4 linked regions of the Struthio camelus genome follow. The protein of the gene in region 4 binds, or shares a complex with, the protein of the main gene of each other region. Links are inferred from orthologs where the notes say so. Each region holds a gene or a part of one and is shown on either strand. Other genes may lie near its edges. The genes, in order: GTF2H4, PFDN2, UXT and POLR2E.

Region 1 (7,925 bases), on a different chromosome or scaffold from region 4:
GGCTCACCCCCAGCACCCCCAGTCCACCCCCAGGTGCCCCCTGGGACCCACAAGAGTCCCCTGCCACCCGCCACCCCCCCTCGGGTGCCCCCGGGACCTCCCAGCCCACCCTCAGATGTCCCCTGGAACCCACGGGTTTCCCCCAGGACCCCCAGCCCACCCTCAGACATGGTCTAGCACCCACGGGCAGCCCCAGGACCCCCACCCCACCCATGGGTGCCTCCTGGGACCCCCCCAGCTCACTCATGAGCACCCCCAGGACCCCCAGCCCACCCATGGGTGCCCCTGGGACCCCCCCCAGCCCATCTTTCAGGTACTCCCCAGGACCCCCAGCTCACCCATGGGTGCCCTTGGGACCCCCAGCCCGCCACTGGGACCCCGCCGGGAGCCCCCCGGCCCCCGCGGGAGCCCCCCGGGACCCCCAGCCCGCCGCCGGGACCCCGCCGGGAGCCCCCCGGCCCCCGCGGGAGCCCCCGCCCCACCTGCTGTGCTCCTTCTTGACCCAGAGACCCACGGCGGCCTGGGGCAGGGGCTGCTCCACGAAGAGCATGCGCAGCACCCCGGCCTGCGCCAGCCCCGGCAGCTCCCTGCGCCGCGGGGGGGGGGGGCGTGGGTGGGTGTCGGGGGCGCCCGGGGGGGTCGGGGGCGCCCGGGGGGGGGTCAGGGGACCCCTAAGGGGGAGGTCAGAGCGCCTGGGGGGGGCCCATGGGGTGCTCAGAGTGCTCCTGCGGGGTGTCAGGATGCTCCTGGGGGGGGAGTTGGGGGGCTGGGGGGGGTCAGGGTGCTCCTGGGGGGGGGTCAGGGGGCCCCTAAGGGGGAGGTCGAGGTGCCTGCGGGGGTGGGGGGGGCCTATGGGGGGCTCAGGGTGCTCCTGGGGGGGTCAGGGTGCCCATGGGGTGCTCAGGGTGCTCCTGCGGGGTGTCAGGATGCTCCTGGGGGGGAGTTGGGGGGCTGGGGGGGTCAGGGGGCCCCTAAGGGTGTCGGGGGGCTCCAGGGGAGCAGTCAGGGTGCTCCTGGGGGGCTGAGGGGGCTCTGGGGACTCCGAGGGGGGGGGTCGGGGTGCTCCTGGGGGGGAGTCAGGGGGCTCAAGGGACTCTGGGGGGGGTCAGGGTGCTGCTGGGGGTGTCAGGGTGCCTGGGGGGGAGTGGGGGGCCGGGCGGGGGGGGTTGGGGTGCTCCAGGGGGTGTCAGGGGTGCCCGAGGGGGGTGGGGGGGAGCACCCGAGGGGGTGTCAGGGTGCTCCTGGGGGGAGGTCGGGGTGCCTGAGGGGGAGTGGGGGGGCCTATGGGGGGCTCAGGGGGCTCCTGGGGGGGGTCAGGGGGCTCCGAGGGGATCGGAGGGCCTTGGGGGGGGGGTCAAGGGGTCTGGGATGGGCTTGGGAGGGGGTCAGGGTGTTCCTGGAGGAGGTTGGGGTGCTTCGGGGAGGGTCGGGGTGCTCTGGGGGGGGTCAGGGTGCCCGGGGGGGGGTCAGGGTGCCCCGAGGGGGGGTCGGGGTGCCCCGGGGGGTGCCCGGGGGGGGGTCTCACCGGAAGACGGCCAGGCAGGTGGCCGGGTGGCCGTAGAGGCGGTCGAGCAGGGCCGGGCCGGGGTCGGGGTGCCCCGGGACGGGGTGGGGGTGCTCTGGGGGGGGTCGGGGTGCCCGGGGGGGGGGGTCGGGGTGCCCGGGGGGGGGGTCGGGGTGCCCCGGGGGGTGCCCGGGGGGGGGTCTCACCGGAAGACGGCCAGGCAGGTGGCCGGGTGGCCGTAGAGGCGGTCGAGCAGGGCCGGGCCGGGGTCGGGGTGCCCCGGGACGGGGTGGGGGTGCTCTGGGGGGGGTCAGGGTGCCCGGGGGGGGGGTCGGGGTGCCCGGGGGGGGTGCCCGGGGGGGGTCTCACCGGAAGACGGCCAGGCAGGTGGCCGGGTGGCCGTAGAGGCGGTCGAGCAGGGCCGGGCTGAGCCCCTGCAGGAACTCGGGCAGGTTCTTGCACTGCAGCTGCCCCCGCGGCACCCGGGGGGGCCCCTCCATGGCGGGGGGCGGCGGGGACACGGCCGACGGGCACCCCGCCACCGCCGACGGGGACACGGCCGACGGGGACACCTGGCAGGAGGGGAGAAAGAGCGCGGCGCGGTGAGTCCCGGCGGGAGATGGGGGGGTGACACCGGGTGACCGGGGAGGGGGGACGGGGTGACACCGGGTGACGGGGAGGGGGGATGGGGTGACACTGGGTGACCGGGGAGGGTGACATCAGGTGAGCCGGAGGGCAAACCCAAGGAGGAGATAAGGTGACACCGGATGACCAGGGTGACCGGCGCTGGGTGATGGGAGCACAGGGTGACACTGGGTGACGTAGGGGGGTGGCATCAGGTGACCTGGGGGGGACGGGGTGACACTGGGTGACCGGGAGGGGGAGATGGGGTGGCACCAGGTGAACTGGGGGGGGGAGACCCAAGGAGGACATGAGGTGACCCGGGGTGACCCGGGGGGAGACGAGGTGACACTGGGTGACCGGGAGGGGGACATGGGGTGACACGGGGTGACCGAGGGGGAGATGAGGTGACACTGGGTGACCGGGAGGGGGAGATGGGGTGACACTGGGTGACCGAGGGCGGATGGGGTGACATGGGGTGATCCGGGGGGAGGAACAGGGTGACACTGGGTGACCGGGAGGGAGAGATGGGGTGACACTGGGTGACCGAGGGCAGATGGGGTGACACGGGGTGACCCGGGGGGGGGACGGGGTGACACTGGGTGACCGGGAGGGGGAGATGGGGTGACACTGGGTGACCCGGGGGGGAGACGAGGTGACACTGGGTGACCGGGAGGGGGAGATGGGGTGACACTGGGTGACCCGGGGGGGGGGAACGAGGTGACACCGGGTGATCCGGGGGAGATGGGGTGACACGGGGTGACGGAGGGGGGACGGGGTGACACGGGGTGACACGGGGTGACACGGGGTGACCGGGGTCGGGGACACGGTGGCACCCGGGGTCCCGCCGCCCCCCCCCCATCGCCCCCGTCTCACCGCGCGCCCCGGCTCCCGGCTCGGCCCCGCCCCCTTCCCGCCCTGCCCCGCGCGGGACCACGTGGGGCCGCGCCGGGCCCCGCCCCCTTCTCCTCGCCGGGCCCCGCCCCCGCCGGCACTGCCGCCACCGCCGCGCGCGCCAAGGTGAGAGAGAGCCCGAGCCGGACGCCTGGGCCCCCCGGGGGGGGCGGGGGACACCCGGACACCTGGGCCCCTGGGGGGGGGACACCCGGACACCTGGGCCCCCCCGGGGGGGGCGGGGGACACCCGGACACCTGGGCCCCTGGGGGGGGGCGGGGGACAGCCGGACACCTGGGCCCCTGGGGGGGGGACACCCGGACACCTGGGCCCCTGGGGGGGGGGGTGGACACCCGGACACCTGGGCCCCTGGGGGGGGGGACACCCGGACACCTGGGCCCCTGGGGGGGGGGTGGACAGCCGGACACCTGGGCCCCTGGGGAGGGGGACACCCGGACACCTGGGCCCCTGGGGGGGGTGGACACCCGGACACCTGGGCCCCTGGGGGGGGGGGTGGACACCCGGACACCTGGGCCCCTGGGGGGGGGGTGGACAGCCGGACACCTGGGCCCCTGGCGGGGGGACACCCGGACACCTGGGCCCCTGGGGGGGGTGGACAGCCGGACACCTGGGCCCCTGGGGCGGGGAGGGGACGCCGGGGTCCCTTGGGTGGGGGAGCTGCCCGGACGCCTGGGCCCCCCAGGGGGGAGGGCACAAGGGGGTCCCCGGGGGGGGGGACACCCGGACACCTGGGCCCCTCGTGGGGGGCGGGTCACCGGGGTCTCCAGGAGGGGAGCTGCCCGGACACCTGGGCCCCTTGGGGGGAGGGCACACGGGGGTCCCTGGGGGGGGGGCAACACCCAGACGCCTGGGCCCTCCGGGGGGGAGCACACGGGGGTCCCTGGGGGGAGAGGTGCCCGGACGCCTGGGCCCCCCGGGGGAGGGCACCTGGATGCCTGGGCCCCTCGTGGGGGAGGGCACCCGGGGGTCCCTGGGCGGGGGGAGGTGCCCGGACGCCTGGGCCCCTCGCTGGTGGGGGGGAGGGGGGCACCCACCCGGGCGCCTGGGCCCTCAGCGCCCCGCCGCCCGCCAGGCAGCATGGCGGCCCCGGCGCTGGCGCGGGCTCTGCGGGGCGCCGGCAGCGGAGCGGGCCCCTGGGCGCGGGGGGGGCCCGGGGGGGGCCGGGGCCGCAGCGGGGGGGGGGCCGCCGGGCCCCCCGCCGGCGCCCAGCTCCAGGCCCGGGCCCACAAGGAGCGGCGGCAGCGGCGGCGGCAGCAGCGGGCGCAGCTGGGGGGCGCCGGGGCCCAGGTGCGCCGGGGGGGCCACTGGGGGGCACTGGGGGGCACTGGGAGATGAAGCTGGGGTGGTTGGGGGGCAACTGGAGGCCACTGGGGGCCTGGGAGAGGGACTGGGAGGGGCTCGGGGGGACTGGGGGGCGACTAGGGGGTGGGAGAGGGACTGGGAGGGGACTGGGGGGGCTCAAGGGAACTGGGGGGCGACTGGGGGGTGGGAGAGGGACTGGGGGGGACTGGGGGGGCTCAAGGGAACTGGGGGGCGACTGGGGGGTGGGAGAGGGACTGGGGGGGACTGGGAGAGGTGGAGAGGGGCCGGGGCGGGTCGCGGCGTGTCGCGGCGTGTCGTGGCGTGTCACGGCGTGTCGCGGCGTGTCGCAGCGTGTCGCGGCCCCCAGGCACCGGCTGCCCCCCCCAAGGCCTGGGCCCCCAAGGCGCAGCTGGAGTACGGCGGGTCGCTGGGCCCCGACGGGCGGAAGGGTACGGGGGGGCGGGGGGGACACGGGGCAACAGGTGAGGTGACGGGCAGGGTGACGCGGGGGCCGGCGGGGTGACACAGGTGACAGGTGGGGAGACACAGGGGTCAGGCGGGGTGACAGGCGGGTGATGCGGGGGCCGGCGGGGTGACACGGGTGACAGCGGGGGCTGGCAGGGTGACGCAGGTGCCGGGTGGGTGACACGGGGATCAGGTGGGGTGACGCGGGGGTGACGGGCGGGTGACGCGGGGGCTGGCAGGGTGACAGGCGGGTGACGGGCGGGTGACGCAGGGGCTGGCGGGGTGACAGGCGGGTGACGGGTGGGTGACGCGGGGGCCGGCGGGGTGACGCAGGGTGACGGGCGGGTGACACAGAGGCTGGCAGGGTGACGGGCGGGTGACGCGGGGGCCGGCGGGGTGACGCAGGGTGACGGGCGGGTGACACAGGGGCTGGCAGGGTGACGGGCGGGTGACGCAGGGGCCAGCGGGGTGACGCAGGGTGACGGGCGGGTGACACAGGGGCTGGCAGGGTGACGGGCGGGTGACGCGGGGGCCGGCGGGGTGACGCAGGGTGACGAGCGGGTGACACAGGGGCTGGCAGGGTGACGGGCGGGTGACGCGGGGGCCGGCGGGGTGACGCCCTGGGCCGCGGCAGGGGTGGAGGAGCCGCTGCCGCCCGCCTACAGCCCCCGCTACGTGGAGGCGGCCTGGTACAGCTGGTGGGAGCGGCGGGGGCTCTTCGCCCCCCGGCCCCCGGTGAGTGCACCGAGCAGCGCCCGGCCTCAGCCCCCATCGCTGCGCCGAGTGCTACCCGGCCTCAGCCCCCATCGCTGCGCCGAGCACTGCCCAGTTTCAGCCCTGTCCCTGCGCTGAGTGCTGCCCGGTCTCAGCCCCCATCGCTGCGCCGAGCGGCGCCCGGTCTCAGCCCCCGTCCCTGTGCTGAGTGCTACCCGGCCTCAGCCCCCATCGCTACACCGAGTGCTGCCCGGCCTCAGCCCTGTCCCTGCGCTGAGTGCTGCCCGGTCTCAGCCCCTGTCCCTGCGCCGAGCACTGCCCAGTCTCAGCCCCCATCGCTGCGCCGAGCGCTGCCTGGCCTCAGCCCCATCCCTGCGCCGAGCACTGCCCAGTCTCAGCCCCCATCGCTGCGCCGAGTGCTGCCTGGCCTCAGCCCCCGTCCCTGCGCCAAGCTGCCTCCAGCCTCGGCCCCATCGCTGCGCCGAACGCTGCCCGGGCCTCAGCCCCGTCCCCACCTCGCGCAGCGTCCTGTCTCGGCCCCCGTCGCTGCGCCGAGCGGCGCCCGGTCTCAGCGCCGACCCCCTCCCCGCACCGTGTCCCGTCTCGGCCCCCGTCGCTGCGCCGAGCGGCGCCCGGTCTCAGCGCCGACCCCTCCCCGCAGGCCGGGGGGGCCGAGCGGCGCCTGAGCCTGGTGCTGCCCCCCCCCAACGTCACGGGCTCCCTGCACCTGGGCCACGCGCTCACCGTCGCCCTGCAGGACGCCCTGGCCCGCTGGTGAGCCCCGCTCCGGGGGGGGGTCCCCAGGGTGCCCTTGGGTGCTGGGGGGGGTGGGGGGGTCCTGTACGTGCTGGGGGGGGTCCCAAGGGTGCTGGGGGGGGTCATGGAAGTGCCTGAGGGCTCCCACGGGTGCCTGGGGGGGATCCCCAGGGTGCCCTTGGGTGCTGTGGAGGGGGTGGGGGGTCCTGTACGTGCTGGGGGGGGTCCCAAGGGTGCTGGGGGGGGTCATGGAAGTGCCTGAGGGCTCCCATGGGTGCCTGGGAGGGTCCCTAGGGTGCCCTTGGGTGCTGGGGGAGGCCGGGGGGTCCTGTAGGTGCTGGGGGGGGGTCCCCAGGGTGCCCTTGGGTGCTGGGGGGGCCGGAGGGTCCTGTAGGTGCTGGGGGGGGTCCCAAGGGTGCTGGGGGGGTCATGGAAGTGCCTGGAGGGTCCCATGGGTGCTGGGGGGGGATCCTGCAGGTGCTGGGGGGGGGTCCCAAAGGTGGAGGGAGGGGGTCATGGAAGTGCCCTGGGGGGGTCTTGGGGGGCTCTGGGTGCTGGGAGGGGTCCCGTGGGGTTGGGGGGTGGTCCCAAGGGTGCTGGGGGGGGACTTGGGGTGCCCCAGGTGCTCAGGGGGTCCCGTGGGGCTGAGGGGGGGTCCCGTGGGTGCTGTGGGGGGTCATATAATTGCCCTTATAAGGGCCCCCCCGGTGGGGGGCCCTGGGTGCTGGGAGGGGTCCCGGGGGGGGTGTCAGGGCACCCTAGGGTGCTGGGGGGGTCCCCGGGGGGGTCTCCGGGTGCGCCTGGATGCTGGGGGGTCCCGGGGGCCGGGGGGGGGACACGCGGGGGGGACACGCGGGGACACGGCGCTGTGGCAGGCGGCGCATGCAGGGCTGGACGGTGCTGTGGGTGCCGGGCACCGACCACGCCGGGATCGCCACCCAGGTGAGGGCGCGCGCCGCGTCACCCCCCCCGCGTCACCCCCCCGCGTCACCCCCCCGCGTCACCCCCCGCCGCGTCACCCCCCCGCCGCGTCACCCCCCGCCGCGTCACCCCCGCGTCACCCCCTGCCGTGTCACCCCCCGCTGTGTCACCCCCCGCCGCGTCACCCCCCCCGTGTCACCCCCCCGCGTCACCTCCCGCCGCGTCACCCCCCGCCGCGTCACCCCCCGCCGCATCACCCCCCCCGCGTCACCCCGCCGCGTCACCCCCCCCGCGTCACCCCCCCACCGCGTCACCCCCGCCGCGTCACCCCCCCCGCGTCACCCCCCCGCGTCACCCCCCCCGCGTCACCCCCCCCGCGTCACCCCCCGCCGCGTCACCCCCCCGCCGCGTCACCCCCCGCCGCGTCACCCCCGCGTCACCCCCTGCCGTGTCACCCCCCGCTGCGTCACCCCCGCCACGTCACCTCCCCTCGTGTCACCCCGCGTCACCTCCCCGTGTCCCCCCGTGTCCCCGCGTGTCGCGGCGCAGGCGGTGGTGGAGCGGTGGCTGTGGCAGCGCCGGGGGCTGCGGCGCCAGGACCTGACGCGCTCCGAGTTCCTCGCCGAGGTCTGGGCCTGGAAGCAGCGGTGAGCGCCGGAGCACACGCGACACGCGTGGGGCGCGCCGGAGCACACGGGAGCACACGCGACACGCGTGGGGCGCGCCG
Region 2 (6,602 bases), on a different chromosome or scaffold from region 4:
CTGCCGCGCGCTGCCTGGGGAGGAATGCGCTCACTCACTGCGGAAAGCGGCGCGGGCTGGGAACGGCCCCCGGGGAAGCGCCACGGAGCGCTCGTTGGCAACAACGGCAAGAAAACAACGGCTGGCTGCAGTCACGCAGAGAGAGGCCTGCCAGGAAGGAGGACTCACGGCACCGCGTTCCTCGGCGGGTGCTCACAGGCCATCGGGAGATGGCAGCAGGCCGCAAACATACCAAGAAGGGTCCCCGAAGCGCCACTTCCCCTGGCGCGGGAGGGGACGGTGGCCCTAGACAGCCCCACCACCAGCCTCGCCGTGGGAAAGTTTGGCCAGACCTGGCCATCCCCATCCCAGGGTCCCAGCACAAACGGACACCCCAGCTGCCTCCCCTGCTTGGGCTTGCTCTCCTCTTTTCCTTTCTCCATGTCCAGGGCGGATCCGCCCATAGGGCAGAAGACACTCACCCCAAGGCCCCTGGAACATGCCACCATCCGTGCTAACACTCATCTCGTGACCAAAAAATCTCACATGTATTTAACAAAAATATGACATGAACAACACTAAATAATAACAGAGAGGGGAAGGGAGGCTAAGACAGGAGGAAAGTCCTTAGGGACAGTGCGAATGAGCTCCTATGAGACCAGGACCCCGGCCGAGCTGGTCTTGGCTCCAGCCCCCTCGGTATTCTCCTTGGGGGGCTGTTTCTGGTCGTCCTCACCCATGAGGCGGATGTTGTGCTTCTCCCGGAAGTCGTTCAGCTCCCGGCCCTTTGTCTGCAGCTGCTGGTTCAGCGTTTCAATGATTTTGCTGATCTGGAAAGGGGTAAAGATGAGTCAGGGCAAAGCAGCAGGGAGACTGGCTCAGTCCTCGCTCCCAGGTCTCTGAAGCGAGACAAAGACGGGGGCTAGAGCTTCGCAGATGAGGGCTCGCACTCAGGGCCTCGCAGTGAGCGGGACAACCCAGTGTCTCCCGAATCACCCCATGGCGAATTGCCCTGGCCATGATCTGTCCTGTGCATCCCTGTGGGCAGCAACTTCCTGCCTGGAGGAGAGAGCTGGGCCCTGCAAGCCCTGGGGGAGGCTCTGCAGGCCGTGACCAGCCTGGGACCCTGCCACGAGGGCACCAAGGCGAAAGGAAGGCCAGCCCGGTCACCTGCTCCTTGTTGCTCTCCAGAGCCGGAAGCACCTCCTTGACGGTTCGTTCCACCAAGATGCCGCCCACCATGCGGTAGCACTTCCGGGTGGGGTCCACCTCCCGCAGCGTCTCGATCACCAGGCTGGGAGGAAGAGGAGAGTGAGGCGGTGAAGCCCCTGCGACCGCGGCCCCCCCACCCCAGGCCTCGTTTTCCCACCTGTGCTCGTTCAGCTCCAGCTCCAGCTCGGCCGCCTTCGAGGCCAGGCCCCGCTGCTCCTGCCGCAGGCGGTTGAACCTGGCCACCACCTGTGAGGACAGCGATGGGGACACAGTGCCGGGGCTGGTAACGTCCCTTTCCCTGCCAATGCCTTGGCCCTGCCCAGCCCCTACCAGCCCCCGCCGCCCTGTGCAATAGTGCTGCCCAGTCCCCTCCAGCCCCATGGTGCCGCCCAGCCCCCCCCCTGTCCTGTGCCATGGTGCCACCCAGACCCGCCCGTCCGCCCAGACCCCCCCCGGCCTGTGCCATGGTGCCACCCAGACCCCCCCCCCGGCCTGTGCCATGGTGCCACCCAGACCCCCCATCCTGTGCCATGGTGCCACCCAGACCCCCCCCGGCCTGTGCCATAGTGCCACCCAGACCCCCCCATCCTGTGCCATGGTGCTGTCCAGACCCCCCCCCCGGCCTGTGCCATGGTGCCGCCTAGACCCCCCCCGGCCTGTGCCATGGTGCCACCCAGACCCCCCCCCCGGCCTGTGCCATGGTGCCGCCCAGACCCCCCCCCGGCCTGTGCCATGGTGCCACCCAGACCCCCCCCGGCCTGTGCCATGGTGCCGCCCAGCTCCTCCCCATCCTGTGCCATGGTGCCGCCCAGCAACCCCCCGTCCTGTGCCATGGTGCCACCCAGACCCCCCCCGGCCTGTGCCATGGTGCCACCCAGACCCCCCCGTCCTGTGCCATGGTGCCACCCAGACCCCCCCCCGGCCTGTGCCATGGTGCCGCCCAGCTCCTCCCCGTCCTGTGCCATGGTGCCGCCCAGCTCCCCCCCGTCCTGTGCCATGGTGCCACCCAGACCCCCCCCGGCCTGTGCCATGGTGCCGCCCAGCTCCCCCCCGGCCTGTGCCATGGTGCCGCCCAGCTCCCCCCCGGCCTGTGCCATGGTGCCACCCAGACCCCCCCCGGCCTGTGCCATGGTGCCGCCCAGACCCCCCCCCGGCCTGTGCCATGGTGCCGCCCAGACCCCCCCCGGCCTGTGCCATGGTGCCGCCCAGACCCCCCCCCGGCCTGTGCCATGGTGCCGCCCAGACCCCACGCAATGGTCATGCCCAGCCCCCTCCCTAGCCATAGCCCTGCCAGGACCCCCCCACCAGCACAATGGTTCTGCCCTGCCCCCCCGCGCCGCGGTCCCGCCCGGGCTGCCGGACACCCCCCCCGCCCGGTACCTGCTCCGCCGTCAGCGCTTTGCCACCGGGCGGCGCCGCCGCCCCGGGCCGCCCCTTCGCACTGTCCGCCATCTTCCCTCGCCGCGCTGCGCACGCGCTGCGGGCCACGCCCCTTCCGGGGCCGGCCGGAAGGGGCGGGGCGAGGCATGGCGCCATCTTGACAGAGGGCAGCGGCGTTGGCCGCTGAGGCGGGGGTGGTGTTGGCGCCATCTTTGCTGCGGGCAACCCCGACGGGGGGGACTTTGCCCGGCCCCGGCGGCGTCGCGGGGCTGGAGCCGCGGACAGGGCATGTAGGGACTGGGGGCACCTGGAGGGCTGGGAGGGCCGGGCGGGGGCCCTTGGGGGGGTGTTGGTGGGGCCTGGGGGCCGTTTGGGGTGCTGAGGAGCTGGGGGCCGTTTGGGGGTGTTGGTGGGGCCTGGGGGCCGTTTGGGGTGCTGAGGAGCTGGGGGGGCTGGAGAGGATTCGACAGTTTGGGGTGCCGTGGGGGGCCGGGGCCAGCTGCCTGCAGGCCCGTGATTGGGGCCTGGCGCCATCCCCTCGGGGCCGCGTCCCCCTTGCACAGGAGCGAGATGGCAGCCATGTCCCCAGGCAGTGGGGGAAGAAGCCACCTCCCTCGCTGTGCCCCGGGGACGGGTGCGGGACCACCTTCACTTGGAGGGTCTCAGCTCCCTCCTGCCCCCAGGCTGAGCACGGCACCCCGCATCCTGCTGCGCTTCCTGTGCCAAGACCTCCTGGGCGCCCAGAGGCAGCTGCCCAGCTCCAGCCTTCACCCTGCCACAAACAGGTGCCAAGCGGGACCATGCGTGTGGGGCTACTCGTGCCAGCCCTGGGGGGCTATCACCGGCCCCACGGCTGACAGCCATGCTCTGCCACAGCTCCCTGTGCCTGCCCGGAGCCATGGCGGGCTCACCCAGGCTCAAGCCGCTCATCGCTGTGTGCCAGGTCACGTCCACGCCTGACAAGGAGCTGAACTTCACCGCCTGTGCGGGGCTGGTGAGGGAGGCGGCGCAGCGCGGCGCCTGCCTCGTCTTCCTCCCCGAGGGCTTTGACTACATCGGCTCCAACACCGCGGAGACCCTCAGCCTCGCTGAGAGCCTGGATGGCGATCTCCTGGGGCGCTACGCTGGGCTGGCCAGGTACTTCTGCAGGGAGACCCCGTTCCTGCCGGGGCCAGTCCCAGTGTGGCTGATCCCATCCTGCAGAATGGTTCCAGGTTCCCCTTTCCAAGCGCGAGTGGGAGGCAGAGCCAGGGCCAGGGGACTGGGGGGGGGCCTGGCCCTGCACCAGGTGACCCCCATGTCCCTGCTGTGCAGGGACTGCGGCGTGTGGCTGTCCCTGGGCGGGTTCCACGAGCGAGGCCGGGACTGGCCGACCACGCAGCGCATTTACAACTGCCACGTGCTGTTGGACCCTGCAGGTGAGAGCCCCTGGCCCTGCCCGCTGCCCGGGGGTCCCTCAGCCCTTGCAGACCTCCCGACCTTGCTCCCTCTTGTCCCCAGGCTGCCGTGTGGCTGCATATAGGAAGACCCACTTGTGTGATGTGGAGCTGGAGGGACGCGTGTCCATGAAGGAGAGCAGCTTCACCAACCCCGGCCCCGAGATCGTGCCCCCGGTCAGCACGCCGGCAGGGAAGGTATGGGGGCAGCTGGGAAGGTGGGCACGGCCATCTTCAGATGCCGCAAGGCTGTACGGCGCCCTGTCCCTGCAGGGAGAGGGGTTCCCCTTCCTGCCCTCTCTTCTGCCCTAGCAGAAGTCCCAGCTCAAACGCTGCATCCCATCTGCAGCTGACGCTGTCCCTCATCTGCATCTCCTCCATGTTGTCCTGGTCCCACCTACCCCATTCCCCTGCCCAGAGCCCCTAACAGGACTGGGTGCCTGTCCCCAGGCGCCGTGTCCTCGCTCACGTCCTCTCCTCTGTCCCCGCCAGCTCGGCCTCTCCATCTGCTACGACCTGCGTTTCCCCGAGATCTCGCTGGCGCTGCGGCAGGCTGGGGCCGAGATCCTCACCTACCCCTCGGCCTTCACCGTCACCACAGGCTCCGCACACTGGGAGGTGAGCATGCCCCATTGCTGCCCCCAATCCTCCCCCTGGCTTTCCTAGCCAGGGAGCTGCGCTCCAACACGCCTCTCGGCCTCAGTTCCATCCCTGCCCTGATCCAGGTGGCTTTTGCCTGGCACAGCCCCTCCTTGTCCCCCTGTGGGTCTGGGGACACCCCAGCCCTGTTGGCTGTTGCAGCAGGACTGAGCCCTCACCCTGCTCATCTCCAACAGCCTGAGCAGGCAAGCAGGGAGGAAACTCAGCCATGACCAAGCATCCTGGGTGCAGCTGAGGGGGCCAAAGGGAGGCAAATTTAAGATAAAAAGCCTCATCTTTTTGTTATTTAAAGCCCAGGGCCAGGGGGCACCGCCTATCTGAGCTTAGTCCCTTCCTGCCATGAGGCCCCTCTCAGGGATGCACCCACAGGGCTGTGCCGTGTCCCCAGTGGGGCACTCAGCTCTGGGCTGGTGCCACTGGGAAGGCCTGTCCCCCCATCGCAGGTGCTGCTGCGGGCCCGGGCTATCGAGAGCCAGTGCTACGTGGTGGCAGCTGCCCAGACAGGCAAGAACCATGAGCGCCGGACGTCCTACGGCCACTCGTTGGTGGTGGATCCCTGGGGCACTGTGGTGGCCCAGTGCCAGGAGGGCCCAGGGTTGTGCTATGCTGAGATCGATCTGGATTACCTGCACCGCGTCCGCCGGGAGATCCCGGTGCACAGCCACCGCCGGCCCGACCTCTACGGCACTGTGGCAGTAGGCACAGGGCCAGCACCCTGAGGCGCTGCCTGTCCTGTGCACCCTCTCAGCACGGTGATTTTGGCTGATCTCCACTCACCTCCGGGGCCCTGGGCTGGCAGCAGGGCTCTCCTGCATGAGAAGGCCAGTGTCAGGCGAGCTGGGGCACCCGCCCCCCCCCACCCTGTCACCCAATAAATCTAATGGTGCCTGCCTCGCACGTCCATTTTCCCCTGACCTGAAGGTGGAGCAGGGCTGCAGCTGCTCTGTTTGAGAGCCTCTGAAACATGGAGAGGCAGGAACGTGCTGGTGCCCTGGTTTCTCCACAGGCTGCTACAGGGTACCCTGGGAACAGGGAACAGAGCCGGGGGATGTTTCCCCCCCCTTTCAGTCTGGGGGCGGGGGGGGGAAGGCAGCCTCCACACTGCCACTTACAAGCTGCAGCCCCCAAAGCAGCACCCCAGATGTGGGGTGCTCCCAGCACCTGTCTCCCTTGCCTGCCTCAGAGGTGCCTGCAGGGGCTGGTGAGGAGCAGGGCACCCAGCCTGACAGGGCAGCCACCCGCGCAAGGAAGGAGCCATGCACTGCAGTAGATGTTTATTTCAAGAAAACTGGAAGCTACACAGGGAATATGACTGTTATATTGACTTTTTAAAAAATACAGAAGTCACAGAAATTACACCAAGTTGTGCCAGAATTGTCTGTAACCAGAGGGGTGTGTGTGCGCACAGGGGAGGAAGGGGGAACCACATGCACACCACAGCAGTCCTGGGGGGGCTGCCCCATGGTGGTCCTCCCATCCCAAAGCACAAGCCCTCACATGCCCCTGCTTCACCCCTCAACGCACACACTGGAGCAGGAGCAGGAGGAAAGAGCCTGCAGCCAAGCAGCAACAGGGGAAAAAAGAAACACAAAAACCAGCTAAGTTGGAAAAAAAAACCACCCTAGGAACCCACCACAAGCAGCCAGGGAGCAATAGGACAGGGCCCATTGCAGCCATTTCAGTGGCCTGAGGTGACAGTCCTCTGGAGACCTGGGAGGAGCCAGGTGGCTGTGGACCAAGGAGCAGCATGTGCTGCCGCCCCCCAAAACGTGCAGCCCCCATTAGCGAGGCAGAGGCTCGGCTGACTGCACCAGCAAGGGGCCAGCCAGGCCTTCCCCAGCACCACCTCGCTTCGACCCAGTTTGCCAGCAGGAGCCAGGGCTGCGAGGAAACAGAGCCAGGCAGCAGCAGAGCGGAGGGGAGGGGAGGGAAGCA
Region 3 (7,334 bases), on a different chromosome or scaffold from region 4:
CCCCCCCAAATCCCCCCAGACTCCCAAATCCCCCCAATTCCCCCCAAAATCGCCTCCCAGACCCCCAAATTCCCCCAAAATCCCCCCCAGACTCCCAAATCTGCCCCAGACCCCCAAATCCCCCAAATTCTCCCCCAAATCTCCCCAACTCCCCCCAAAATCGCCCTCCGGACCCCCAAATCCCCCCAGCTCCCCCCAAAATCGCCCCCCAGACCCCCAAATTCCTCCAAAATCACCCTCCGGACCCCCAAACTCCCCCAATTCCCCCCCCAAAAATCCCCCCCAAGACCCCAATCCCCCCCAATTCCCCCCACACCCCCCGCCCCCCGTGGCCCCGCCCCCATCGTGGCCCCGCCCCCATCGTGGCCCCGCCCCCAGCCCCCCCCCATAGCAGCAGCACCCCCCCCTGCCCCCGGCAGCGCAGCCGGGCTGACCCCGCCCCCCACCCGGCCGAGGCCCCGCCCCCTCCCGGCCGAGGCCCCGCCCCCTCGGCCGAGGCCCCGCCCACCTGGAGGCGCTCCAGGGCGGCGCGCAGCTGCAGCACCTGGGCCAGCTGCTCGCACACCGCCTCCCGCTGCGCCAGCACCCGCCTGCGGGGGGGGGGGCGGGGCCTCAGCGGGGGCGGGGCCTCGGCCGGGGGCGGGGCCGGGAGGTGGGATGTGGATGGGGGGGCGGGGGGCGGGGCCGGAGCGCGTGGGCGGGGCCAGAGCGCGGGGGGAGAGAACGCGTGGGCGGGGCCAGAGCGCGGGGGGAGAGAACGTGTGGGCGGGGCCAGAGCGCGGGGGGAGAGAACGTGTGGGCGGGGCCGGAGCGCGGGGGGAGAGAACGTGTGGGCGGGGCCAGAGCGCGGGGGCGGGGCCAGAGCGCGGGGGGAGAGAACGCGTGGGCGGGGCCAGAGCGCGGGGGGGAGAGAACGCGTGGGCGGGGCCGCAGCGCGGGGGGAGAGAACGCGTGGGCGGGGCCGGAGCGCGGGGGGAGAGAACGCGTGGGCGGGGCCGGAGCGCGTGGGCGGGGCCGGAGCGCGGGGGGAGAGAACGCGTGGGCGGGGCCGGAGCGCGTGGGCGGGGCCAGAGCGCGGGGGGAGAGAACGCGTGGGCGGGGCCGGAGCGCGTGGGCGGGGCCAGAGCGCGGGGGGAGAGAACGCGTGGGCGGGGCCGGAGCGCGTGGGCGGGGCCGCAGCGCGGGGGGAGAGAACGCGTGGGCGGGGCCAGAGCGCGGGGGGAGAGAACGCGTGGGCGGGGCCGGAGCGCGTGGGCGGGGCCAGAGCGCGGGGGGAGAGAACGCGTGGGCGGGGCCGGAGCGCGTGGGCGGGGCCAGAGCGCGGGGGGAGAGAACGCGTGGGCGGGGCCGGAGCGCGTGGGCGGGGCCGGAGCGCGGGGGGAGAGAACGCGTGGGCGGGGCCGGAGCGCGGGGGGAGAGAACGCGTGGGCGGGGCCGGAGCGCGTGGGCGGGGCCGGAGCGCGTGGGCGGGGCCGGAGCGCGGGGGGAGAGAACGCGTGGGCGGGGCCAGAGCGCGGGGGGAGAGAACGCGTGGGCGGGGCCAGAGCGCGGGGGGGAGAGAACGCGTGGGCGGGGCCGCAGCGCGGGGGGAGAGAACGCGTGGGCGGGGCCGGAGCGCGGGGGGAGAGAACGCGTGGGCGGGGCCGGAGCGCGGGGGGAGAGAACGCGTGGGCGGGGCCGGAGCGCGTGGGCGGGGCCAGAGCGCGGGGGGAGAGAACGCGTGGGCGGGGCCGGAGCGCGTGGGCGGGGCCAGAGCGCGGGGGGAGAGAACGCGTGGGCGGGGCCGGAGCGCGTGGGCGGGGCCGCAGCGCGGGGGGAGAGAACGCGTGGGCGGGGCCAGAGCGCGGGGGGAGAGAACGCGTGGGCGGGGCCGGAGCGCGTGGGCGGGGCCGCAGCGCGGGGGGAGAGAACGCGTGGGCGGGGCCAGAGCGCGGGGGGAGAGAACGCGTGGGCGGGGCCAGAGCGCGGGGGGAGAGAACGCGTGGGCGGGGCCGGAGCGCGTGGGCGGGGCCAGAGCGCGGGGGGAGAGAACGCGTGGGCGGGGCCGGAGCGCGTGGGCGGGGCCAGAGCGCGGGGGGAGAGAACGCGTGGGCGGGGCCAGAGCGCGTGGGCGGGGCCAGAGCGCGGGGGGAGAGAACGCGTGGGCGGGGCCAGAGCGCGTGGGCGGGGCCAGAGCGCGGGGGGAGAGAACGCGTGGGCGGGGCCAGAGCGCGTGGGCGGGGCCAGAGCGCGGGGGGAGAGAACGTGTGGGCGGGGCCAGAGCGCGGGGGGAGAGAACGCGTGGGCGGGGCCAGAGCGCGGGGGAGAGAACGTGTGGGCGGGGCCAGAGCGCGGGGGGAGAGAACGCGTGGGCGGGGCCAGAGCGCGGGGGGAGAGAACGCGTGGGCGGGGCCAGAGCGCGTGGGCGGGGCCGGAGCGCGGGGGGAGAGAACGCGTGGGCGGGGCCAGAGCGCGTGGGCGGGGCCAGAGCGCGGGGGGAGAGAACGCGTGGGCGGGGCCAGAGCGCGTGGGCGGGGCCAGAGCGCGTGGGCGGGGAGGGGCTGGCTGTGCGGGGTGGGGGGGGGCGGGCAGCGGCGCGGGGGGGCAGGGGGCGTGGCCGGGGAGGGGGCGGGGGGGCGTGGCCAGGGGGGCGGGGGGGCGTGGCCGATCCGCCGTGAGGAGGGAGGGGGCGGCGCGGCGGCCCACGAGGGGGAGGGGGAGAGAAGGGGTGGGGCGGGGGGAGTGCGGGGGCGGGGCCGAGGGGAGGGGGCGGGGCCGAGGGGGGAGGGGGCGGGGCCGAGGGGGGAGGGGGCGGGGCTCACGCACTGCAGGTCGCGCTGCAGCACGTCGCTGACGAAGGCCTCGTAGCGCCGCACCTTGCCGGCGGCCGCCATGGCCGCGCCGTGACGTCAGCGCGCCGCCGCGTCAGCGCGCCGTGACGTCAGCGCGCCGCGCCCGCCACAGCCTATCGGCGCGCGGCTGGGCGCGCCTGTGGCCGGTCGGCGCGCTCGGCGCTCGGCTGCGCCGCCTGGCCGGGCCGGCGCCCCCGCGGTGACGTCATCGCGGCGCGCCGCGGTTCGGCCGCCGCCGGCGGCGGGAGCCCGGGGGGGGGGCGGTGGGTTTTGGGGGGGAATCGGGGAGAAACGCGACGTTGTTTCGGCTTAACGGGGGATGGGGGGGCGGCGGGACACCTGGGCCCTTCCCCGGACGCCTGGGCCCCTTCCCCGGACGCCTGGGCCCCTTCCCGGACGCCTGGGCCCCTTCCCCGGACACCTGGGCCCCTTCCCGGACGCCTGGGCCCTTCCCCGGACGCCTGGGCCCCTTCCTGGACACCTGGGCCCGTGTCCCGGACACCTGGGCCCGTTTCCCCGGATGCCTGGGTCTCTCCCGGACACCTGGGCCCCTTCCTCGGACACCTGGGCCCCTTCCCTGGACGCCTGGGCCCTTTCCCCGGATGCCTGAGCCCCTGTCCCGGACACCTGGGCCCCCTTCCTGGGCGCCTGCACACCTTTCTGGATGCCTGGGCCCCTTTCCCTGGATGTTTAGGTCCCTTTCCCGGACGCCTGGGCCCCTTCTCCAGACACCTGGGCCCCTTGCCCGGACACCTCGGCCCCTTCCCGGACACCTGGGCCCCTTGCCCGGATGCCTGGGCCCTTTTCCCGGACACCAGGACCCCTTCCCCGTATGCCTGGGCCCCTTACCCGGATGCCTGGGCCCCTTTCCTGGACACCTGTGCCCCTTGCCCCGGACGCCTGGGCCCTTCCCCGGACGCCTGGGCCCTTTTACGGGATGCCTGGGACCTTTCCCAGATGCCTGGGCCCTTTTCTTGGACGCCTGGGCCCATTCCCGGACGCCTGGGCCCCTTTCCCGGATGCCTGGGCCCCTTCTTCACATGCTCAGATCATTTCCCTGGACGCCTGGGCCCCTTTCCCCGGACACCTGGGCCCTTCCCTGGAGGCCTGGGCCCCTTCCCTGGATGCTTAAATCATTTCCCCGGACGCCTGGGCCCTTCCCCGGACGCCTGTGCCCCTTACCCCGGACACCTGGGCCCCTTTCCCGGACGCCTGGGCCCCTTATGCCGGACGCCTGGGCCCTTTCCCGGATGCCTGGACCCCTTCCCAGGATGCCGGGGCCCCTTCTTCACATGCTTAGATCATTTCCCTGGATGCCTGGGCCCTTTTCCGGACACCGGTGCCCCTTTCTCTGGACGCCTGGGCCCTTTTTCCCGGATGCCTGGGCCCCTTCCCCAGTTGCTTAGGTGCCTTCCCTGGGTGCCTGGGCCCTTTTCCCGGACACCTGGGCCCCTTCCCTGGATGCTTAGATCATTTCCCCGGACGCCTGGGCCTCTTCCCTGGATGCTTAGATCCTTCCCCGGACGCCTGGGCCCATTTCCCCGTACGCCTGGGCCCCTTACCCCGGATGCCTGGGCCCTTTCCCCGGATGCCTGAGCCCCTGTCCCGGACACCTGGGCCCCCTTCCTGGGCGCCTGCGCACCTTTCTGGATGCCTGGGCCCCTTTCCCTGGATGTTTAGGTCCCTTCCCCGGATGCCTGAGCCCCTTTCCCGGACGCCTGGGTCCCTTTCCCGGACACCTGGGCCCCTTCCCTGGATGCTTAGATCATTTCCCCGGACACCTGGGCCCCTTTCTTGGATGCTTAGATCCTTTCCCGGACACCTGGGCCCCTTCCCCGGATGCCTGGGCGCTTTCCCTGGATGCTTAGGTCCCTTTCCCGGACGCCTGGGCCCCTTCCCCGGATGCTTAAATCATTTCTCCAGATGCCTGGGCCTCTTCCCTGGATGCTTAGATCCTTCCCCGGATGCCTGGGCCCATTCCCCGGATGCCTGGGTTCTTCCCCGGAGGCCTCGGCCCTTCTCCGGACGCCTGGGCCCATTTCCCCGTACGCCTGGGCCCCTTACCCCGGATGCCTGGGCCCTTTCCCCGGATGCCTGAGCCCCTGTCCCGGACACCTGGGCCCCCTTCCTGGGCGCCTGCGCACCTTTCTGGATGCCTGGGCCCCTTTCCCTGGATGTTTAGGTCCCTTTCCCGGACGCCTGGGCCCCTTCTCCAGACACCTGGGCCCCTTGCCCGGACACCTGGGCCCCTTCCCCGGATGCCTGAGCCCCTTTCCCGGACGCCTGGGTCCCTTTCCCGGACACCTGGGCCCCTTCCCTGGATGCTTAGATCATTTCCCCGGACACCTGGGCCCCTTTCTTGGATGCTTAGATCCTTTCCCGGACGCCTGGGCCCCTTCCCTGGATGCCTGGGCCCCTTTTCCTGGATACCTGGGCCCCTTCCCTGGATGCCTGGGCCCTTTCCCTGGATGCTTAGGTCCCTTTCCCGGACGCCTGGGCCCCTTCCCTGGATGCTTAGATCATTTCCCCGGATGCCTGGGCCCCTTGCCCGGATGCCTGGGCCCTTTTCCCGGACGCCTGGGCCCCTTCCCCGTATGCCTGGGCCCCTTACCCGGATGCCTGGGCCCCTTTCCGGGACACCTGTGCCCCTTACCCCGGACGCCTGGGCCCTTTTCCCGGACACCTGGGCCCTTTCCCTGGATGCTTAGATCCTTTCCCGGATGCCTGGGCCCTTCCCCGGACACCTGGGCCCTTTTACCGGATGCCTGGGACCTTTCCCAGATGCCTGGGCCCTTTTCTTGGACGCCTGGGCCCATTCCCGGACGCCTGGGCCCCTTGCCCGGATGCCTGGGCCCCTTACCCCGGATGCTTAGATCATTTCCCCGGACGCCTGGGCCCCTTTTCCCGGACACCTGGGCCCCTTCCCTGGAGGCCTGGGCCCCTTGCACGGATGCTTAAATCATTTCCCCGGACGCCTGTGCCCCTTACCCCAGACGCCTGGGCCCCTTATGCCGGATGCCTGGGCCCTTTCCCAGATGCCAGGGCCCCTTTCCTGGATGCCTGAGCCCTTTCCCTGGATGCTTAGGTCCCTTTCCCGGACACCGGGGCCCCTTCCCCAGACACCTGGGCCCTTTTCCTGGACGCCTGGGCCCCTTCCCCGGACACTTAGGTCCCTTTCCCGGAGGCCTGGACCGTTCCCCGGATGCTTAAATCATTTCCCCAGATGCCTGGGCCTCTTCCCTGGACACCTGGGCCCTTTTCCCGGATGCCTGGGCCCTTTCCCTGGATGCTTAGATCCTTTCCCGGATGCCTGGGCCCCTTCCCCGGATGCCTGGGCCCATTCCCCGGATGCCTGGGTTCTTCCCCGGAGGCCTCGGCCCTTCTCCGGACGCCTGGGCCCATTTCCCCGTACGCCTGGGCCCCTTCCCCGGATGCCTGGGCCCTTTGCCTGGACACCTGGGCCCCTTTCCTGGACGCCTGTGCCCCTTCCCCGGATGCCTGGGCCCTTTTCCTGGATGCCTGGGCCCTTTCCCTGGATGCTTAGGTCCCTTTCCCGGACGCCTGGGCCCCTTCCCCGGATGCCTGGGCCCCTTCTTCACATGCTTAGATCATTTCCCCGGATGCCTGGGCCCCTTTCTTGGATGCCGGGGCCCTTTTTCCCGGATGCCTGGGCCCCTTCCCCGGTTGCTTAGGTCCCTTCCCTGGGTGCCTGGGCCCCTTTCCCGGACTCCTGGGCCACTTCCCCGGATGCCTGAGCCCCTGTCCCGGACACCTGGGCCCCCTTCCTGGGCGCCTGCGCACCTTTCTGGATGCCTGGGCCCCTTTCCCTGGATGTTTAGGTCCCTTTCCCGGATGCCTGGGCCCCTTCTCCAGACACCTGGGCCCCTTTCCCGGACACCTGGACCCCTTCCCCGGATGCCTGAGCCCCTTTCCCGGATGCCTGGGTCCCTTTCCCGGACACCTGGGCCCCTTCCCTGGATGCCTGAGCCCCTTTCCCGGATGCCTGGGTCCCTTTCCCAGACACCTGGGCCCCTTCCCTGGATGCCTGGGCCCCTTCTTCACATGCTTAGATCATTTCCCTGGACGCCTGGGTCCCTTTCCCGGACACCTGGGCCCCTTCCCTGGATGCTTAGATCATTTTCCTGGACGCCTGGGCCCCTTTCCCTGGACGCCTGGGCCCCTTCTTCAAATGCTTAAATCATTTCCCTGGATGCCTGGGCCCCTTCTTGGACACCTGGGCCCCTTTCCCGGACACCTGGGCCCCTTCCCCGGATGCCTGGGCCCCTTCCCTGGATGCTTAGATCATTTCCCCGGACGCCTGGGCCCTTTTCCCGGAAGCCTGGACCCTTCCCCGGACACCTGGGCCCCTTCCGCGGACACCTGGGCCCCTTCCCTGGATGCTTAGATCCTTTCCCGGACGCCTGGGCCCCTTCCCCGGATGCCTGGGTTCTTCCCCGGAGGCCTCGGCCCTTCTCTGGACGCCTGTGCCCCTTTCCCGGACGC
Region 4 (7,597 bases):
CGAGAAGCTGGTGGCAAGTTTCCCCAGCAGGGCTTCCCTGCCAGACACGCATACACACTCAAACCCAGACAGAACAGTTGCAACACTGCAACCCTCAGGAGCCACAGAGACACTGGGCACCAAGCTTCAGGCCTGTGGCTGGAACGTAGCATAGAAGTGCCACCTTCAAGTGCAGGGCAGTCAAAGGTTGGGAATGGAGTCACATCTGCTGGTCCTCAGAGGATTCAATGGCCACAGCTGTCTCCCCTTGCTGGAAGCCTGCCCAGCTTACACAAGTCTCTGTACCACGACAGCTTTCCCATGGGAAAGAAAGGCCCTTCCCTTCTCTTGGGGTTCAGAAATATCATCAATACCCCCTACTATCACAGCTCTGCCTATAGAGAACTGCTGCCTGTCACCAGCTTGTGTCACTCTTACCTGACCTCGCTTTATTCCAAAGTACCTGGCCACTGGATCCCCAGCCTGTATGCGTGGGAGCTGGTTCTCTCTCAGCTTACTGCACAGGACAGTCAAGGAAGAGCTCTATCAGCAGCATAAGCAACTGGCTCAGGTACCCATTTGTTTTAAGAACGGGCACGGTTATTAGAACCGACTAGTACATTGTCACACTCAGAGGTGTATTCATTTTCAACTTAAAGCAAGTATGAATCACACCCAGGGAGGGAAGGAACAAACAAAGGATACTATCGGGCTAGTAGCTCAGTTACTTCTTCCTTTGTCATGACCACGTGCTCTGGAACCAACTGTAAACAAAGGAGAGACGTTCCAAGATTAGAAAACCAGAGAAACCAAAAGTCTCCTCACAGCAGCAGGACAAGGAACATGTGGGTAAGCAAAACTAGAACAACTACTGCTGTGTCACCCAGCCTGACCTTCCAAACAGAAGATCGCTAAAAGCTAGGTGATGGTCTGCAGCTCAGCAGAGAGACTGGTTGCCTCGCCTTTGCTCCACTGCCAGCACAACTTACCTCATGTTCTGTGATGTTGATCAAGAGCTCTTGCTGCAGAAACTGCTCCAGGATATATTTGGGAGCCATATCTACCAGGGACTGAAAAGGAAAAGGCATGTCAGACTGCAGCACAGGGCACTGCTCGAGGTCAGTCCTACCTGCGCTCAATAAACATCACATTGCAAGGGATATCATTACATTTGTGCTCACACAGTTAGAGCTACACAGCAAACTGCTAACGGACCTTGTCACCGCTGGCAAGTATCTCCTCTCCTCTCATAAACCTCAGTAGGCCCTCTCTTCTTCTTTAACCAGAGTTAGAAAGCTCTCTTTAATCAGAGCCAGTTGTTCTGGTTAAACACATTTGCATGTTAAGCAAGACATGTCCCCTGCGTTAAGGGACAACAGGTTTTAGTGAAACATTTTCTCAGAAATAAAATTCAACATTCTTATTAATCTAAAGCAGCACTGCAAAACAAACATGCAAAACATCCATAGTCTACAATTGCCCTCTGGACCGTGAGACAGGTTGTTTTTTTTTTTTTTTAAAAAGGGTTCTCTGTACCTGCTTTGCTGAGGGAGTCATGCCTTGCTGTACCACAATCAACGCTCTGGTGATGTTCTCCTCCTGCATCCTCTGACAGTACATCTTGATTGTCTTTATTCCAACCTTGGGCTCCTCTAGGAGTGAGGGAGGTACCATGATCACGATACATGCATTCAGTAATCCACATTCTAATAGCCTTTGTTTTGCAGCCAGTGATACACTTATGCACAAATATTCATTCATTCTACTCTGTGATGTATTTTCTTTTTGCACAACATTCTGCATCCAGCCTACCAGCTGCAGAAGTCACCCCTGCAGTCATACACAGCAAAACTTATGGAATGTTTTGCCTTGTTAAACCCAGTGGAATAAGGCATGTTGTGTAAATAAAGAAAACCCAGCTGGAGCTTACCACACCAAGATATTTATTTTGCAGGACAGAATAAGCTTTCTGAAAGGCTTCATGCCAGTAGAACAGGAAGAACTGGCTTTCATTAGAAGTGAGTTTTTGAGCGCTGGGGAAGCACAGTCACATCAGGCTTTCAGAAAGCCAAGCCATCCCTTCCACACAGCTTCTATCAGTGTGAGGCAAAAAGGTAACACGCAACAGCAGCAGATATTCCTTGGTGCCTGAGTTAACAGTTTTGAGAAGTCCAAGCTCACTGCACATATGGTAACTGTGTCACACTTACCTGGGAAGAAAACAAACATCTGATCAGTAGGATCATCATTATGAGCCACCAGCACTGTCAGGTCAGTGCGCCTCGGCCTCCCTTCACTAGGCTTGTCCCCAAACTGGGCCTTGAACTCCTCCAGGGTCTGATCCAACTCATCCTGAGTCACCAGATAGCCCCGATCATGACAAAGCTGCAGAGAACATCCTCACTTAAGACACACAACAGGTAACCCGTGTTCACAGCTCCGCTCACTTCCCACACGCAGCGTTTCACCCTTCGCGCTCCAAACACAAGTCCTGCTGCTGCCGGAGCCCGCACCAGAGCGCCAGGCACTGCTGAACCATCAAGCCCCACCACGAAAACTCCGTACAGCTCTTAGCACAGCGCAATCCTGCCCGCGCCCCGGAGAAGGGGGACAAGCGCTCCGAGGCGGGCCCGAGAGAGTCCCAAACGCCAGGACCCCGCCGCGATGGCTCCCCAAGGAGAGCAGAACAGAGGGCCGGGCCGGGCCTCGCCTCTCCCCCCACCCGGCTCGGCCCCAGCCTCCCTCCAAGGCCCAGGCCGCCCCCAGGCTCCCGCCCCGGGCCTCTCGGCCCGCCGGTCCCCCAGGCCCCGGCCCCGCACCTGCATGATGGTCTTGCGGATCTTCCACAGCCGGTAGGTCTCCTCCTCGTCGTCCATGGCCCTCGCGCACGCGCGCTGCCGCCGCCGAAAGCCCCCCGCCGGCCCTGGGGCGCCCGCTTTAAGCGCCTGCCGCGCGGCGCTGCAGGCGGCCGCCGGGGCCGCCGCGGGGGCCTCGGGAGCAAGGGCTGCTGGGAGGTGTAGTCCCGCCCGCCTCGCCCCGCCTCGCCTCGCCTCGCCGCTGCTGCCCCCTGGCGGGCGGGGGCCCCCGGGGGGGGCTGGGGAGGGGACCCTGAAACAAGGGGTCTTGGGGCAGGTCCTAGGGCAGGTCTGGGGCAGGGGGTCCTGGGGCAGGGGGGTCTTGGAGCAGGGAGGTCTTGGGGCAGGTCTGGGGCAGGGGGTCCTGGTGCAGGGGGGTCTTGGGGCAGGGGGGTCTTGGGGCAGGTCTGGGGTGGGTCTGGGGCGGGGGGGTCCTGGGGCAGGTCAGCGACCTGGGCCTGGCACAGTAGAGGCTCTAGGGCAGGGCAGGGGGCCTGGGACCACCAGCTCTGCGTGCCCAGGCCCCAGCCCGGGGGCTGCCCAGTCCCCCCAGCGGCCTGTGCGGCCATTTGTCACCATGCCTGACCCCTCCCGGCCACCCTGCAGCTGGGGACGGTGTGGCAAGAACGAATCGGGGAGAGAAAAACAGAACAAATCCTCTTGCAACACAATGGAGCAGTCTCAAGCCCAGACGCGTGACAGTGACACCCCCGGTGGGGACGGCCCTGATTGGGGTGGGGGGGCCTCCTCTGCCACAGCAAAGGACATCTCTTCTTTGCAGCAGGGCGGAGGGACAATTTTTTTGCCAGTTTGAATTACAGCTCTGAGCTTCTCAGCCCAGGACACATCAAAAGACCACAACCTGTCAGTAGCAGTATCTACCAATTTTGCACACAGATCAAGTAGAAAACTCCTTTGAAGGGGGATATTATTCAACGTAGATGCAAGCTTCACTGGCAGAGACAGAAATCCAACCCTCTGCAAACAATCCGCCTGCTGAGGCTCTTTTCCTGCCGCCTTTAACTCTAATCACAAGCCGTCATTAATCCTGCCTAACAAAGCACTAAAAAAAGACACAAACTATTGGTCAGGGATCTGCCTCCTTTAATCTCGTGTTCTCCCAAATTATCCCAGCTGGAGAGCCCCTTTTTTCCCCCCTTTCTTTCACGTTTTTCAGTGCTTGCGTTGCCCTACAAATTGGCTCAAAGAACATGGGCAGGACAGGAGCTCAGCCCCGCCGCGTGGGCTCAGCCGTGTTTTGTGCCTCCCTTCGTTTCGGCAGGACCTTTCAAGTTTTCCAGTTTCCACTCAGCAGCAAGACGAGGGATTTTAACTCCTAAGAGCTGGTCTAAAGTTAACGGCCTACAGCTAATTGTCCTTGACAGCCAGCAGCGTCAGCGGCTGTCCGTGGGGAGCCACAACCCAAGACCAAGACCAAAAGCAGCCAAGACTGTGGCGAGCGGGAGATGCTTTTATCTGCAGCCTCTTCTGCTCCCGGTGCCCTCCTGGATCCAGGCATTGAGTAGCCACAGGAAAATGTTCCCGTCTGCCGTCACACCGCAGCCCCACAGCCACAGCTCAGTCACGGGGCTAGAAACTGCTTCCCAAGGACGTTCCCCAAACCCACTGGCCCGCGAGCAGGCAGCACCTGTAGCAGCCTGCACCCAGCTGCAAAGAGGTGGCTGCAGGCACCCAGGCAGTGCAGCCCAAGGGTGCAGTGATCGGCAGCCTCCGCCCTGCACCACCAGTGACGCTCCAAACCATGCACTGTGAGCAATGCTCCAACCATGCACCGCCAATGATGCTCCAACCCTGCACCGTGAACGATGCTCCAACCCTGTACCACGAGCGATGCTCCAACCTTGCACTGTGAACGATGCTCCAACCCTGCACCACGAGCAATGCTCCAACCATGCACCGCCAACGATGCTCCAACCCTGCACCATCAGCAATGCTCCAACCCTGCACCGTCAGCAATGCTCCAACCAAGAATTGTGAGCAATGCTCCAACCCTGCACCGTGATGGACGCCACCATCCCCGCACCGAGACCCAAGCAGCCCCGGGCCATGTGCCGCGGGAGGGCCACCGCTGGCGCCCCAGGCCCAAGGGAGCCCCGCGGCGGCGCCTGCAGCGCCGAGCACCGGCGCGGCCACGTGACTGGGGACCCCCCGCCCCACCTCGTGGTCCGTCCCTGCCCCCCCCCCCCCGCCTCGTGGTCCGTCCCGCCTAACCGATAAACAACCGCTGCGGCCAAACAGCCCCCTGCCTGCTCTGCGATTGGCCAGCTGCGCCGTCCATCATCTGGGCCGTGCCGCCTCCCCGCGCGCTGATTGGCCGAGCCGCCGGAGGGGGCGGGCCTCAGGGCGGGAGGCGGTGGCGGCGCGATGGTTTTGGGTCACTTGTCACGGCGGGCACTGCTGTGCGGGGTGGTGGCGGCGCGGCGGCTGAGCGGGAACATGGTGAGCGCGGCGGTGCCGGCGGGGGGGGGGGAGGTGCGGCGCCGGGCACGGTGTCGATGTCGGTGTCCACCCGCCTCAGCCCCTGGAGGAGGCGAAGCGCGTAACGGCCCTTCAGTGAGGTGACCATAGAGACGGCCTATCCCCAGGGCAGAGTGGCGGCCGCCTTTGGCGGACCCCCGCGCGGGACGGTGGCCGCCGCGGGCCACGCGCCTGGCGGCAGCGCTGCGCAGCCCGGCGGCCGCCCCGATCTGCCCGTGCGCGGAGGTGGGCCCGGAGCAGCTGCCAGCTCAGCTCCCCTCCCCCCCCCCCAAAAAAAAAAAAAAAAAAAGGGACCGAATCCGGCTGGATGAACCCGCCGGGAGCCGGGTGGGCGGCGGCGCGGGCCGGGCTGCAGCGCTCCGTTGTGCGGCAGGAGCTGCTGCTGCTGCTGCTGCTCCTGCTCCTGCTCCTGCTCCTCCTCCTCCTCGGGGAGCAGCTCTTGCCTCAGGGAGGGAGCGAGGAGCAGAAGCCAGCCGTGCTCAGGCGCTGCCAGGGCCTGGCCTGCTCCCCCCGTCCGGCCAGGGCACAAACTGGTGGTGACTGGGGACGGTGCTCGCGGCCTGCCTGGGCCGGGCGGGAGACCCGCTCCTCCGACGGGGGGGAGGCCTCCAGGATGGCCCCTGCCTGGGACTCCATGAGGGCCTGGGGCACGTACAGCAAGGATCTGTGCTTAAGCTTCTAATTTTGTGCTTGTCCAGCCGTCACTGCACAGGGTGAGGAAATGCTGGGAGAGGTGTGGTGGGGGGAGGCTCTGGAAACCGAAGCCCTGCCTGGGGTGCTCCTCCAGCAGTTGAAGCACCCAGGATGAATCATGGGGTTGTTAAACCTAGCAGGGAGCAACATCAATAACGTGCAAGTTTTACTGCAAGTTTTACATTGTGCTGCGTAGGAGAAAAGAAGACCTAAGAAACTGTAGTTTGGGAAACTTGTAACTTAGCTGGATTATCATGACCCTGTGGGTGGACCAGCTGACATGGAGCACGTGGCTCATTTGGGGCACCTGACAGCAGGGAGCCACCAGAGTGTGTGACACTTGCCTTCCTGGGTACGCTCAGCTTCTGCTTCACGAGTCCTGACATGAGCAACGAGTAGAGAGGGGAGCTGCTATGGATGGGAGGGACAGAGACAGCGAGCCATCAGCATGGGGGCACAGGCACAACCTATTGCTGTGACATGGCTCACTGCTGGTCTCCTGTTGGAGCTGAGCTCACCTAAAGCTGGAGAGGACGTGCTGCTGGGATTGCTGGGGAGGGAAGCTGACAGCAGCTCTCGGCTCTCTTGCAGTGTGCCCAAGTAGATGACTGGCGCACTGCCAAATCAATCTATGACTTCCATGCCCAAGACATAGACGGCAACACTGTCTCTCTGGAGAAATACAGGTAGGAGTGAACGGCCTGGAATCGGCTTGTCCTTAATAACGCAGTACACAAGCATGGGAGGGGGGAGGTGGTGCCCTTGAGCCCTCGAGGGGGAGTGCTGTTCAAAGGTCCTTAGTAGCTGCACCAGGCAGCAGTGACTAAGCCACAAAGGGAGCTTGCATAACATGAGAAAGGCTACAGAGAAAGCAGCTTGTTTTTTGTGCTGCCTTCCCTTCTTGCTGCACCCTTCACAGAGAGCATACGTGAGGGGCTTGCCTAGCCCTGTTACGGGAATTCCTTCTGATTCTTTTTCTTTCCAGGGGCTTTGTCTGCATCATCACCAATGTTGCTTCAAAATGAGGCAAAACGGATGTAAACTACACTCAGTTCGTTGACTTGTACGCCAGATACGCTGAGAGAGGTTTACGCATCCTGGCCTTTCCCTGCAACCAGTTTGGAAAACAGGTATGTGGGAGCAGCAGGAAGGCTGCCCTGGAGCCGTACACAAGGGCAGCTCTTGGTCTTGAGGATCCGCTTGGCTAGCTGGGGTCTGCTTGCCTCCCCAGTACACGAGAGGGAGCCCATACAACATCCGCATGCCAGCAGAGCCATGGAGTTTCTGTGCTGAAAGGGGAAGAGGCTTATGTTAGAGTGCCCTGTCTTTTGCCTTCCTCAGGAACCAGGGGACAATGCTCAGATTAAGGCATTCGCTGAAAAGTACGGAGTGAAGTTTGACATGTTCAGTAAGATCGATGTCAATGGGGAGAATGCCCTTCCGCTCTGGACGTGGATGAAGGCGCAGCCTGCGGGAAGAGGCACCCTGGGCAAGTGAGTGGGGAAGAGGGTGTTGTAGAAACCCCCCAACCTGCCTGGCACTGCTGGAACAGCCCATGGGGCTGAGAGGAG

The links.
Region 1: POLR2E (region 4) and GTF2H4 share a complex: the UniProt entries of both Homo sapiens proteins name them as parts of the TBP-based Pol II pre-initiation complex. The link is inferred for Struthio camelus from reciprocal best matches to the Homo sapiens genes POLR2E and GTF2H4.
Region 2: POLR2E (region 4) and PFDN2 share a complex: the UniProt entries of both Homo sapiens proteins name them as parts of the PAQosome complex. The link is inferred for Struthio camelus from reciprocal best matches to the Homo sapiens genes POLR2E and PFDN2.
Region 3: POLR2E (region 4) and UXT share a complex: the UniProt entries of both Homo sapiens proteins name them as parts of the PAQosome complex. The link is inferred for Struthio camelus from reciprocal best matches to the Homo sapiens genes POLR2E and UXT.

What each region holds. Positions count from the first base shown.
Region 1 is NC_090977.1:635,840-643,764, forward strand, and holds the start of GTF2H4 (general transcription factor IIH subunit 4), read right to left. Parts: upstream 3,016-7,925; 5' UTR 3,002-3,015; intron 2,077-3,001; 5' UTR 2,005-2,076; coding exon 1,874-2,004; intron 588-1,873; coding exon 483-587; intron 1-482. Other genes in the region: VARS2 (valine--tRNA ligase, mitochondrial), read left to right, coding at 4,118-4,327, 4,563-4,791, 5,442-5,542, 6,183-6,295, 7,153-7,219, 7,748-7,845. UniProt on the Homo sapiens protein: Component of the general transcription and DNA repair factor IIH (TFIIH) core complex, which is involved in general and transcription-coupled nucleotide excision repair (NER) of damaged DNA and, when complexed to CAK, in RNA transcription by RNA polymerase II.
Region 2 is NC_090971.1:436,067-442,668, reverse strand, and holds PFDN2 (prefoldin subunit 2), read right to left. Parts: upstream 2,698-6,602; 5' UTR 2,644-2,697; coding exon 2,572-2,643; intron 1,438-2,571; coding exon 1,349-1,437; intron 1,274-1,348; coding exon 1,150-1,273; intron 810-1,149; coding exon 630-809; 3' UTR 506-629; downstream 1-505. Other genes in the region: NIT1 (deaminated glutathione amidase), read left to right, coding at 2,860-2,861, 3,135-3,356, 3,448-3,708, 3,886-3,989, 4,072-4,205, 4,500-4,625, 5,111-5,386. UniProt on the Homo sapiens protein: Binds specifically to cytosolic chaperonin (c-CPN) and transfers target proteins to it. Binds to nascent polypeptide chain and promotes folding in an environment in which there are many competing pathways for nonnative proteins.
Region 3 is NW_027182705.1:18,387-25,720, forward strand, and holds the start of UXT (protein UXT), read right to left. Parts: upstream 3,003-7,334; 5' UTR 2,874-3,002; coding exon 2,806-2,873; intron 591-2,805; coding exon 509-590; intron 1-508. UniProt on the Homo sapiens protein: Involved in gene transcription regulation. Acts in concert with the corepressor URI1 to regulate androgen receptor AR-mediated transcription. Together with URI1, associates with chromatin to the NKX3-1 promoter region.
Region 4 is NC_090967.1:7,260,369-7,267,965, reverse strand, and holds the start of POLR2E (DNA-directed RNA polymerases I, II, and III subunit RPABC1), read right to left. Parts: upstream 3,008-7,597; 5' UTR 2,856-3,007; coding exon 2,799-2,855; intron 2,365-2,798; coding exon 2,190-2,364; intron 1,632-2,189; coding exon 1,516-1,631; intron 1,050-1,515; coding exon 969-1,049; intron 744-968; coding exon 685-743; intron 497-684; coding exon 418-496; intron 1-417. UniProt on the Homo sapiens protein: DNA-dependent RNA polymerase catalyzes the transcription of DNA into RNA using the four ribonucleoside triphosphates as substrates.